Rattus norvegicus: one gene and its partners. The protein of the gene in region 1 binds, or shares a complex with, the protein of each later gene. Links are inferred from orthologs where the notes say so. Each region holds a gene or a part of one and is shown on either strand. Other genes may lie near its edges.

Region 1 (3,506 bases):
GGCAGATGGCAGCCGTGCACATTACCTGCCTGCCCGAGCCTTTGTGCTTACTCATTCACACTCATGCCTTCAGCAAAGCCAACTATAGAAGGTGTGGGAGACAGGCAAGCCGCCTGGGCAACCCAGGCCTCAGTTGGTTGCTGCCACCTGCTGGGGCCTGTTTGCCAGAAGGCTGTCCAGTAGATAAGCAGTCCCAGGACCTCACTGAATCTAGTTTCTCAGCTGTTAAGTTTCTAGAAGACAAGCCTGGTGAGAGTGGTGCGTGCCTTTAACCCCAGGACTTGGGAGGTGGAGGCAGAGGCAGGCTGATATCTGTGAGTTCCAGGTTTCAGGACAGCCAAAGCTACATAGTGAGACCTTGTCTCAAAAAGAAACAAGCTTCTAGATGGCAGCCTATCTATGGGTTAATGGATTGTGCTGCATTATTTCAAATCAGCATAGGTAGGGAATTGACTATTTGGTAACATGTGGTGTCCTGTTGTGTCGAGGTTCAGAGAACAAAGGATATCAAGGGCTCAGAAATCCTGGAATATTAGAGAGCTGTAACAGCCTCAAAGCAGAGGTCTTGGATCTTCAGAATCTGCTAGGGCCTTGGATGGAGAAAGGAAGAACACAGATTTGAGCTCAGTCTGGACAGCTTAATGAGACCATGACTCAAAAAAAAAAAAAAAAAAAAAAAAACAAGGACAGGTTTGGGTCTGGTGGCACTTGGAGGCAGAGCCAGGGAGATCTCCACTAGTTTAGGGCAAGCCTGGTCTACATTGAGAGTTGCAGACCAGCCTAGGCTGTATTGTCAGACCCTATTTATAAAGGAAGGGGTCATAGTGGCAAACACCTTTAATCCCAGTACTCTGAAAGCAGAGGCAAGTAAATTTCTGAGTTTGAAGCTAGTTGGTTTACCTAAGAAAGTTCTTGGCCAGCCATGGCTACAGAGTACAATCCTGTCTGTATACCCATGCATGCCTTCATGCACACACAGGAGTTTGCTGAAGATACATACATAATGTGGTTTGGGTGATAGTGCATTCAGTGCAAATATTATCTAGGCAGGAGCTCCTCGACCATTAGTGCCTCTCCTTTCAGTGAATGACATATCCTCCTGCAGTGAGAGGAGTCATCTTAATCTTGTGACTGTCTTTGAAGCATATATTCAGAAGTTAGGTTGGTTGGGTTTTTTATGGCAGAACACACTTGTGAATAACTAGCTTTCCTTTCTCTTCTGAGGTCACTGTCATTTGTATTAGTAAGTTTATAGTGGGTGCTTCCGTGGGTTTTGTAGTACAGTCAGCATAGTCCTAATTTCCAGGACTCCAGTAATCATTTGTAAGCAGGTTCTGGGGACACAGAATAATGTGAGCCAAACACGAGGAGCCTGCACCCTCATAGTTCTTGGTCTTCTCCCTGCTTTAGCAGGCCCAGGCAACACAAAGGTAGTACCTTTCCTTTTTCCACAGGAAACTTGTGTTTGAAGACCCATCTTAGGTCAGATGGGGTGTGGCTCATAATTTTATTCCCAGCACTCAGAAAACAGGACAGTCAGGCTGGAGAGATGGCTCAGCGGTTAAGAGCACTGACTGCTCTTCCAGAGGTCCTGGGTTCAAATCCCAGCAACCACATGGTGGCTCACAACCATCTGTAATGGGACCCGATGTTCTCTCCTGGTGTGTTTGGAGACAGCTACAATATACTTCTATATAATAAATAAATCTTTTGAAAAGAAAACAGGGCAGTTGAGGCCTGTCTTTAAAGAAAAACACATCTTATAGAAGTAGGAATTCTAGATGCTTATCATATGCTTGCTTCTTAACTATTATTTCCCGTCCCTACAGTGTGTGTCATTTGTGTGGATGCTCATTAAACTGCTGATTAACTCAGTCTGTGGACTGAGTCTGTTAAGTCACTGAAATCAAATCAGACTGCCCTCTATTGAATTCAGTAAACATTGAGCAGCCATTACTGTATATTTTCCGCTAGATTCCTCTCTATTCGGGACTTCCAGGCCTTTGATGCACATGCTTGTATATTTAGTGAAGTACACATTGTAGAATCAGAAAAACTGTTGAACCTTTTCATAGAAACCCCACTTGGGTTTCAAGGGTGCTAGTTTTTGTTACTGCTGAGTATTTAGTGTATGTCACTGTCAGTATTATTTCCTGCCTTGATAATCTCATCTGTGGAGGGTTTTTATAATTTTGGTTTTGGTTTTTAGGGATACCTGAAAGAAATCTTGAAAGAAATCGGCATTCAGAATGTAAAAGGAATTCACAAGAATACGTGGGAGCTGAAGCCAGAGTACAGGCATTACCAAACAGAGGAGAAGAGCGACTGAGAGAAGCGTGTGCAACAGTTACAGGCAGATCTCTGCCACCACACGCTGACTGCCTGCCCACCCTGACAGGACAAAGACAACTGAGTCTGTCTGCCATTCCTCAGTAAACTGTTAAAGCTGGGACTCCAAAAGGTTTCTAAGTGTTTTTTGAAGAGAAAGATATTATTTATAGACTAGACTTGTGTTAAGCCATAGCATTCAGCAGGCATGCTGACAACACATACATGTGTCTGACACTCAGGAGACTGAGGCAGGCAAAGGGTGAGTGACTTTGAGACCAGTCTGGAATACACAGCAAGACCCTCTCCCATAAAAGGAAAACATTACAGTATGGGTAGGGTCTGGGGTTACAACTGCCTCTGTTCCCACTGGTTAGCTTTGCAAGTGTAAATGGGACATTTCCTAAATGAAATTGTATCTCTGAGGAACTAAGGTAAGAATGGAGAAAGTGGGGGGAGGGAAACTATTAAAGGAACAGAGTTGAAGTTCCTTTTTCTGAAACTGAAGAGGGAACTTGTCCCTCCCTACAGAGGTAATATTTTACCTTCAAACATACGTAAATAAAGAGATCTGTTCCCTTTGTACTAAGTGGCAGCTTTTATCACTGGTGCCTAACCCTTGTGGTACTGGAAAGAGAAACAGTCAAAACTCGAGACAGTTACTGTCCCATCTGGAGAGCTGGCTCGTGGTTACGGGCACACACTGCTCCTGCAAAAGATATGAATTTGGTTCCCAGCAGCCAAGTCAGTTTCTTTCTCAGCTGTCTATACTCCAGCGTCAAGGGATCCTTGCCTTCTTAGGTCTCCACAGGTTTCCACACATACGTGTCCATACATTCACACAGACACATGAATGAAACTAATTTTTTTTTAAAATCTCTTAAAATAACAATTGATAATTAAGTACCTTTCCAACTTCAAGATGCATCTCTAACCAGATATAAGCTCCCTGGAGACTGGCTTTGGCCTGGGATTTTTACTTCCCACTGTCTAGGCAAGGCTGACCCTTTGCTATCAGATTCTATTGCCAACTGAATCGGGGCTGTTAGGTGGTGCACTGAGATGGCAAAGGCAGGTGCTGTTCCCTAGAGCCTCAAACGCTCTCCGCGCTGTCCTCAGCTGAGCGGATGGAAGCAGCACGTGTATGGATGAGTTTCCTCAGGACGATGAATGTCATG
Region 2 (3,697 bases), on another chromosome or scaffold:
CCTTGGCATAAGTGCTGACGAGAGTGGCGAAGTTGGCAAGGAGTGTGAGTGGGGAGAAGTCGGCCAGATCAGCAATCTCCAGGGTGTGCAGCAGGGAGCGCAGGCGCTCGGCACAGAACCTGAGAAGCAAAGGGGTCAGGAGTGAGAAGTAGCAACAGGCCCAACTCTCGCCACATGTTTCCCTGGGAATCTGGGCATTGTGTGACGCTGTCCCCATACTGTATAAGACACCCAGGGTCACCACTCCAGGCTGGAGCACAGCTCCCCACTCACTGCAGTATCTTGTCAAAACTCATGGCCAACAGTCACTCTGCTTCTGGCCAGCCAGTGCCATGGGCCCCACCCCACACACAAAGAGGACTAGCCACACGCTTTCTTAGGCTCACAAAGTCTATGTCATCTGCTCATCCCCCAACATAGGGACACGTGGTTGTGGTACTCACTGCCCACCACACAGTCCCACAGACTCCCTCCACATCCAAAGCTGACCTGACCCACAGCCTTAGCTATGGTCCAGATCCCTCCATCACCAGCAAAAGGTATGGGCCCATGGCTCCCGCTGCAGGCCGCACCTGAGGGGCTTGCGCTGGATGCACACACGCTGGGCCAGGCCGCTCAGAAAGGCAGGTGGACTCTCCTGCACCACATGCTGCACACGCAGCCGCCACTTGACATACTCCAGCAGCCGCCGCAGGAAGCCCAGGAAGTGCTCGGCGGTGCGGATGGAGCCTGGCACGGCCTCTGCAGGGAGATCAAGTCAGTTGGTACAGGAGGAGTGTGTGAGGGCCGGAGGCTGGGTGGGGTGAGGTGTAGCTCACCCTGCAGCACCTCATCGGGCAGCACAGGGTTGGCCAGGTGGGCATCTGTCTCCCGAGCTGCACTGGCCTCCCGCAGGCCCTCCACCAGGCGCCGGTACTCATCTCGTAGCCGCTGCTCATCTGTCTCCTTGATCCTGATGGGGACAAGGGACAGGAGCTGGAATGAGGCAGGGGTCCAGGGCCACTGAGGCGCACACAACAGCGGGAGCGGAGAGGGCACCTGAGCACCGTCTTCTGCAGGGTGTCTAAGTTGCTTTGGCAACGGTCCAGAGTCCTGCGGGTGAGGTTGACACTCATGGAGTCGATGCAGACATTGTCTAGGAGAAAGAGAAAAGGGGTGAGAGCTGGGCTCAGTCAGGCTTGGGGGTGGGGGACAGAGGGCTGCCATCGTCTGCACACCCTGATACCCTCCTCACCGATATTGTGGGCTTCATCGAAGACCACAACGGCCTTGCGGGCCAGCTCTTTGGATACCAGGTCTGCGATCTTGGGGTCCAGGAGGTAGTGGTAGCTGTAAACCACCACGTTGGCATGCAGGATCTGGGCACACGGAGGGAGAGGTTGCCCTGGGCCCTGCTCCCCCCGCCACACCCACTCTACTCCAGGTCCATGAAGGTGCCACAAAGACAGACACAGCAATGGGTGGAAAGATGGACAGGACCACCCAGGCAAGGCACAAAACCACAGAGGTAATAGGATGGAAACAGAAGGGCCAACAGAAGGACGGCACAGCGTCTCATGCCTACACCCTAACAGCTGGGAACCTGAGGCAGGGTTAGTCCAAGTTTGAGGCCAGCCTGGGCTACAAATGAGATTCTGCCTCAGAAGAAAACAAAACGACTCTTCACCGAGTATCGAGCCAGGAAGTAGGGGCACCAGCCCTGCCGCTGCCCCAGGGCCTTCAAGTCATCCAGGTTGTAGATGCCCGCAGGGAGGGGCACCTGGCGTCCATGGGTGTCAAATTCCTGGGGCAAGGTCAGAGGGTGGCAAGGTCAGGGAGAGGTGCTCTGTCGTGCCCCAGCCCTGCTCCCCAGTCTGGGCTCTCCCTGTACCTCATAGAAACGGCAGTGAGGTAGGCTGGCATCCTGCTGGTACTGTGCCCGCACGTATGACGCTGTCAGGCTGTGACACTTCCCATCAACGTCCTTCCCGAAGCGCAGTGGTGTCACCTAGGAGGGAGTTAGTGGACAATTTAAAACAGAGACAGGAAGGGGTGCATATCAGCTATTTGAACTGGGTCTCCAAACTCAGACAACAGGAGTAGTGTGTTAGCTGGGGCTTGGGGGCAACAGGGAACCTTCACCTGATTTGCTATTTGTTTTTTGTTTTGTTTTGTTTTATTTGTTTGGCTTTTGGTGTTTGAAGACAGGGTTTCTCAGTGTAATAGCCCTGGCTGTCCTGGACTCATTTATAGGCTAGGCTGGCACTGAACTCAGCGAGATCAGCCGGCCTCTGCATCCTGAGTGCTGGGATTAAGGCCAGCACTGGGATTATCAGCACCACGCCTGGCTGATTGATATTTGTTACAAGAACTTGTTGCATCGGTGTCAAGGTGGAGCCTGGCTGAAATCATCCCACGAGAGCTGGGTATGGCAGCAGGGGCCTGTGATCCAGTTACTCAGACAGGTGAAGCGAGAGGATAGCACACAAAGCCGTAGGCACAATCCAGATCCCAGAAAACCAGCCAGCCAGAGGGCTAGCTGGATGGCTCAGTGAGTATGGATGGCTGCTGCCAAGCCAGACAACCTGATTTCAATCCCTGGGATCCACACAGTGCAAGGAGAACAGACCCCCACAAGTTGTCCTCTGACTGCCCCATGCCCATATGTACACATACATACATGCACACTCATACACACAAACATGTAAGGTTTTAAAGAAATAAATGCCTAAATTTCTCTCTAAACAAGCAAAACCCCCAAACAGAAAACGAAGATGCCTTGAGTAGCCAGCCCTTCTCTGAAAGCACTGGGTCAGCAGCGTTTGGTTCGGGATGTGTGTGGGTCTGAACTACCCACATAAACATAATGGACACTGTGAGGCAGAGCCTGAGGCTGCCATGGAATTAACCTCTTTTGCCTGTATACAAAAACACCCACGACTTTGAGTAAGCTACCATTCAGATTTTGACCTGTCCCTTACTAAGGTCAAATGCGAGAGTCTGAGATACCATGTGGCATGGGAGCAGCCTCTGATCTTGGCACAGGTGCCGCCCTTAGCCACCAAGGATGAACACTGATTTAACAACTGAAAAGGAAGCCGCACTCTGTCGCCTCACTGACAAAGGGTTTACTCTGGGCCTGAGGTGCGTGGCCCAGGGCTCACCTCGGGATGAATGCACAGGTTCTTTCTCGAGCTCAGAGCCAGTCCTAAGAATGGCAGCTTCTCACCCTCCTGCTGCTCGTAGAAACTGAGCAGCTTACGAAGCTCTTCTATGACCTGCACAGACGATGGGAGCATTAGGTGGGGACCTTAGGACAAACACAAGTTCCTGCCCACCAGGCTACCGAGGGCTGAGACGGGATCACCAAGGCCCAGTGGAGGGGACAGAGCATGGGTTCTGTCTGCACTGCCCACCTTCTCAATCTCCGGCACGGTCCGTGAGCAGTAGATGAGTTTGGTCACCTCCAGTGGATAAGCCTGTGGGTGACAAGTGGCCTCAGCCCCATCCAGTCCCTTCCCCATCCCATTCCTGGCACTTAGGAGGCCACTCACCCGTTGATAGGCCACGATCAGGGCCAACAGGGACACTGTCTTCCCAGTGCCTGAGGGCATCTCCAGGACTCCATGACCCTAAAAGTTGGGCACAGAAAAGACATGGGCTCTCAGAACCCCATTGACATAAACTCTGGGGAATTCATCCCTGATGTGCCAGCACC
Region 3 (4,288 bases), on another chromosome or scaffold:
TTCTCCAGGGAATGGTCCCAGCACCCATGTCAGGCACTCACCCAAGTAGTCATCCATCAGAGAGCCAATAGCAAACTGCGAGAGGAAAGGGAGAAAGGATGGTGAGGTGGGGCCCCACCCCATTCCGAGCCTTCTGTCATCTATTCCCTGCTCATGGACACAGAGCACAGAGCCCCCAACAACTGTGGATGGCAAGAGGTCAACAGCGCAGATGGGGAAAGAGCTTGCTCCAACCCTGATGACCTGACCTCCACCCCCAAAATCCACAGCAGCATGCGATGACCTGAAGGCGGTCTAAATGTCACACTGTGGCGAGTGTGTATGCCCACACATCCACATAAATATGTTCTACAAAAGAAACGAGAAACCCACAGCTGTCAGCTGTGAATGATGACTTTGGATTATTTATAATCCTACTACCCAGGAGGCTAAGGCAGGCCAGTCAAGCAAGAGACTCACAATGTCATTCTTGTCTACACGTGTCCCTACAATCTTCAAGCGTATCTCATCGTCCTGCTGAATTACAATGTCCTGTGGAAAGGAGAGAGCAGGGTCATCAAGCAGACTCAGGCCTGGTCCTCATCCCTCTCACCAACTCCTCCTCATTCGCTCACCTCATCCATGGTCTTGTAACAAGGGGGGTTCGAATTTGGATCAAACTCCATCTCTGAAGGGATGGACTAGAAGGAAATTGACACAAAGGTTAGCATTTCAAATAGCTGCATCAAAGGATGAGAGTCAGGGGCTGGTTTCTCCTCCTCGGCCTCACCCCACACGCCCAGACTCACGTGTCGAGAGATGAAGCAGGACATGGGCCCAATTTCTGTGAAAAGTCCAACCTAGAAGGAAAATGACCGTGCTTCAAACGCTCTGAAGCATCTTTACCTGATTTCTAGGCACATTATTCATGTTTCTTAACAGTTTAAATTGTAGCATTTGTTTTAATTTCTCTCTGTGTAATCTTTCATTTCTTTACATTTTTGTTCTTCATTATTTTTATGTGTAAGAATATTCTGACCTCACATGTGCCTGTGCACCATGTACCTGCAGTGCCCATGGAAGCCAGGAGAGGGTATTGGGACCCTGCAGAATTAGGAGTTACAGATTATTGTGAGCCATTGGCTGGGTGCTGGGAGTCAAACCCAGGTCTTATAGAACCAGTAGGTGCTCTAAACCACTGAGCTATAGACCCCTTAGCCTTTAAGAAACTTAATTTCTGAGGCTAGAGAGATAGCTCAGTGGTTAAGAGCACTGACTGCTCTTCCATGGGTCCTGAGTTCAATTCCCAGCAACCACATGGTGGCTCACAACCATCTGTAATGAGATCTGATGCCCTCTTCTGGTGTGTCTGAAGAGAGCTACAGAGGAGTGTGTATAATAAATAAATCAGGGGCTAGAGAGATGGCTCAGCGGTTAAGAGCACTGATTGCTCTTCCAATGATCATGAGTTCAATTCTCAGCAATCACATAGTGGCTCATAATCATCTGTAATGGGATCTGATGCCCTCTTCTGATGTGTCTGAAGACAACAGTGTACTCATATAAATAAAAATAAACAAACAAACCTTAAAAAAAAAAAAAAAAAAAAGAAAAGAAAACCCAAAACTAAGATAAAATAAAATAAATCTTGACAACCACAAAAGGCTTAAGGCAACTAATAAGTGGACTGGGAATTGAACTCTCACCTTAGGAAATACCCCGTAACCTTTCTTTTTTTTTTTTTTTTTTTTCTTCTTTTTTTTCGGAGCTGAGGACCGAACCCAGGACCTTGCACTTCCTAGGCAAGCGCTCTACCACTGAGCCAAATCCCCAACCCCATAACCTTTCTATAAATAATACTCTTACCTTGTTGACCTGAGTGACCACAGCATCCACCACTTCCCCTTTAAAGGGCCGGAAAACAATAGCTTTGTATTTCACTGGATAAAGAACAAAACCTCGGCCCGGCTGGATCACACCAGCACCAATATTGTCGATGGTAGTGACAGCAATCACAAAGCCATATCTGCAGGAAAGATGAAAAAAGACAGCTACTGTATGTGAAGAGCCTCTAAAAAGCCACCAGCAATAGTCTGCGTGTGATGGAACCTCTGCTCGAACAGCTCGATGACCAAGAAGAGACAGAACTCAGATTAGCACCTGAAATATTAAATGGTGCTCTCACAATTGTACAGTAAATGCCCAAGAAGGCACAGATATGCTGACATACACCTATTCTCTCAGTACCAGGACTTGCCAGGTCAGTGGTGAGACAGGTCTTTCGAAAACCACAAATCAGACAGAAAATTGTGACGAAAACCTTTAATCCCAGCACTCAGTGGCAGGCAGTTCTCTGAATTAGAGGCCAGCTTGGTCCACATAGTGAGGCCATCTCGAAACCCAAAACATTTGCATAATAACGGTCTGATCTCGCATAAGCGAAGAAAATTTGGTTTAGCAACCTTTTAGAAGGCCCAAAATAGGCAAAAACTGGCTGCTTCGGATGCCTGGAGTGGTGAAAGAGTTCCTCAGAGTAAGTAACAAGCCCTGACTGAAGGAGTGAAGTAGAGGTTACAGAGTAGCGTTATTGTGCCTGCATTCAGCAGACGACACTGTGAATCAGACACTTACTTCCCAGTGCAGGTCCCCTCCACCTCGGTGAACAGCTTCTGCTTCACCGTGTTGAGCAAGTTGGGACCAAAGTAGCGTGGGTGCAGTAGGATCTCGTGCTCCAGGGAAATCTGCAGAGAAAGGAAGATGAAGACTCCGCCAGCCACACTGAGAACAGGAGGCGACCCGTCGGCCCTCCAGGCTCCTCCTGTCCCTGCCCTCACCGCTACCCCGCGTCCAGCTCACATGATAAAACATCTTCTGCAGAAGCTTGGACCGCAGAGGCCAGAACTCCCCAGGAAGGGACCTCGCCGGAAGCACTAGCAGAAGTCCCACCAAGTCTCCGCAGTCGCTTCCGCAGATTTGAGTCTTAACGCCATGGGCGGGGAAACGTGAAGCCCCGCCCCTCAGGCCTTCCCATCAGCGCTCATCAGCACAGCCAGGATTACACAGAAAAACCCGGTCTCGAAAAACCTTAAAAAAAAAAAAAAAAAAAAAAAAAAAAGGTTAAGAGGTCTGGCTTGTCGCCACATGCCTTTAAACCCAGCCGTGGCAGACAGATCTCTAAATTCAAGGCTAAGCCACATCTACAAAGTGAGTTCCAGGATAACCAAGACTGTGTATACAAACCCTATAAAAAAATTTGTTTTTGGGGTTGGGGATTTGGCTCAGAGGTAGAGCGCTTGCCTAGCAACCGCAAGGCCCTGGGTTCGGTCCCCAGCTCCGAAAAAGAGAAAAAAAAATTGTTTTTTAAATTTTATTTTAGGGGCTGAAGAATTAGCTCAGTCCTTAAGAGCACTTGCCAGCCCCCACAGGATAGCTCACAATCTTATCTGTAACTACAGTTCAGAGAGAACTGACACCCTCTTCTGGCTTCATTCAGCACTGCATGCTAGTGGTACACAGACATAATGCAGGCAGAACACCGATGCTTGTAAAATAAAAATAAAGATGAGGTAGTTGGGGAGATTGCTCAACAGTTAAAATCAATGGTTGCTCCTCCGAAGGATCCAGGTTTGATTCCTAGAACAAACATGGTAACTCAACTAGCTATATTTCAATCCTAGGGGATCCAGTGCCATCTGGGGCCTCCATGGACACTTCTCCCTTGTGGTGAACAGGCATAGATACAGCCAGAACATTCATACATATAAAATAAAAATAAAGGTTTTTACACATAAAATAAAAATAAAGCTCTCGAAGAGGACCTGAGTTCAATTACTAACACTGCACCCGAGGTCTCACAACTCCAGCTCGAAGGGGATCTGAAACTTTCTCATTGCCTCAGGAGGTACCAGCACTTGTGGGCTTGTACTCACATACAGATAACAGACATCATTGAGTACACCTAATTAAGAAGAAGTCACTTGGAAGTGTGGCACACGCCTTAAATCCCAATATTCAGGAACAAAAGGCAGGTGGGTCTTCAAGTTCAAGGCCAACCTGGTCTACAGCATGAGTTCCAGAACAGCCAGGGATACATTAAAAATGAAGGTGTCGGGGTTGGGGATTTAGCTCAGCGGTAGAGCGCTTGCCTAGCAAGTGCAAGGCCCTGGGTTCGGTCCCCAGCTCCGGAAAAAAAAAATGAAAGTGTCTTGTTAAACAAAACAAAAAGACAACAAGCAAAAAGATTACTTATGTGGGCACGCACTGGGCTTACTTTCTTTTCTATTTGAGGGACGGTTTTATTATGTGACCA

Evidence for each region.
Region 2: Gtf2f2 (region 1) and Ercc2 share a complex: the UniProt entries of both Homo sapiens proteins name them as parts of the TBP-based Pol II pre-initiation complex. The link is inferred for Rattus norvegicus from reciprocal best matches to the Homo sapiens genes GTF2F2 and ERCC2.
Region 3: Gtf2f2 (region 1) and Polr2g share a complex: the UniProt entries of both Homo sapiens proteins name them as parts of the TBP-based Pol II pre-initiation complex. The link is inferred for Rattus norvegicus from reciprocal best matches to the Homo sapiens genes GTF2F2 and POLR2G.

The regions. Positions count from the first base shown.
Region 1 is NC_086033.1:57,614,772-57,618,277, reverse strand, and holds the end of Gtf2f2 (general transcription factor IIF subunit 2), read left to right. Parts: exon of another isoform or gene 1-2,209; coding exon 2,210-2,329; 3' UTR 2,330-2,917; downstream 2,918-3,506. UniProt on the Homo sapiens protein: TFIIF is a general transcription initiation factor that binds to RNA polymerase II and helps to recruit it to the initiation complex in collaboration with TFIIB.
Region 2 is NC_086019.1:88,164,194-88,167,890, reverse strand, and holds part of Ercc2 (general transcription and DNA repair factor IIH helicase subunit XPD), read right to left. Parts: intron 3,612-3,697; coding exon 3,534-3,611; intron 3,459-3,533; coding exon 3,396-3,458; intron 3,258-3,395; coding exon 3,144-3,257; intron 1,988-3,143; coding exon 1,871-1,987; intron 1,784-1,870; coding exon 1,667-1,783; intron 1,438-1,666; exon of another isoform or gene 1,359-1,437; coding exon 1,235-1,358; intron 1,136-1,234; coding exon 1,039-1,135; intron 953-1,038; coding exon 819-952; intron 742-818; coding exon 573-741; intron 120-572; coding exon 1-119. UniProt on the Homo sapiens protein: ATP-dependent 5'-3' DNA helicase. Component of the general transcription and DNA repair factor IIH (TFIIH) core complex, not absolutely essential for minimal transcription in vitro.
Region 3 is NC_086019.1:215,118,736-215,123,023, forward strand, and holds the start of Polr2g (DNA-directed RNA polymerase II subunit RPB7), read right to left. Parts: upstream 2,922-4,288; 5' UTR 2,848-2,921; coding exon 2,836-2,847; intron 2,724-2,835; exon of another isoform or gene 2,721-2,723; coding exon 2,611-2,720; exon of another isoform or gene 2,006-2,610; coding exon 1,846-2,005; exon of another isoform or gene 840-1,845; coding exon 789-839; exon of another isoform or gene 681-788; coding exon 615-680; exon of another isoform or gene 532-614; coding exon 460-531; exon of another isoform or gene 76-459; coding exon 42-75; coding exon of another isoform or gene 1-41. UniProt on the Homo sapiens protein: Core component of RNA polymerase II (Pol II), a DNA-dependent RNA polymerase which synthesizes mRNA precursors and many functional non-coding RNAs using the four ribonucleoside triphosphates as substrates.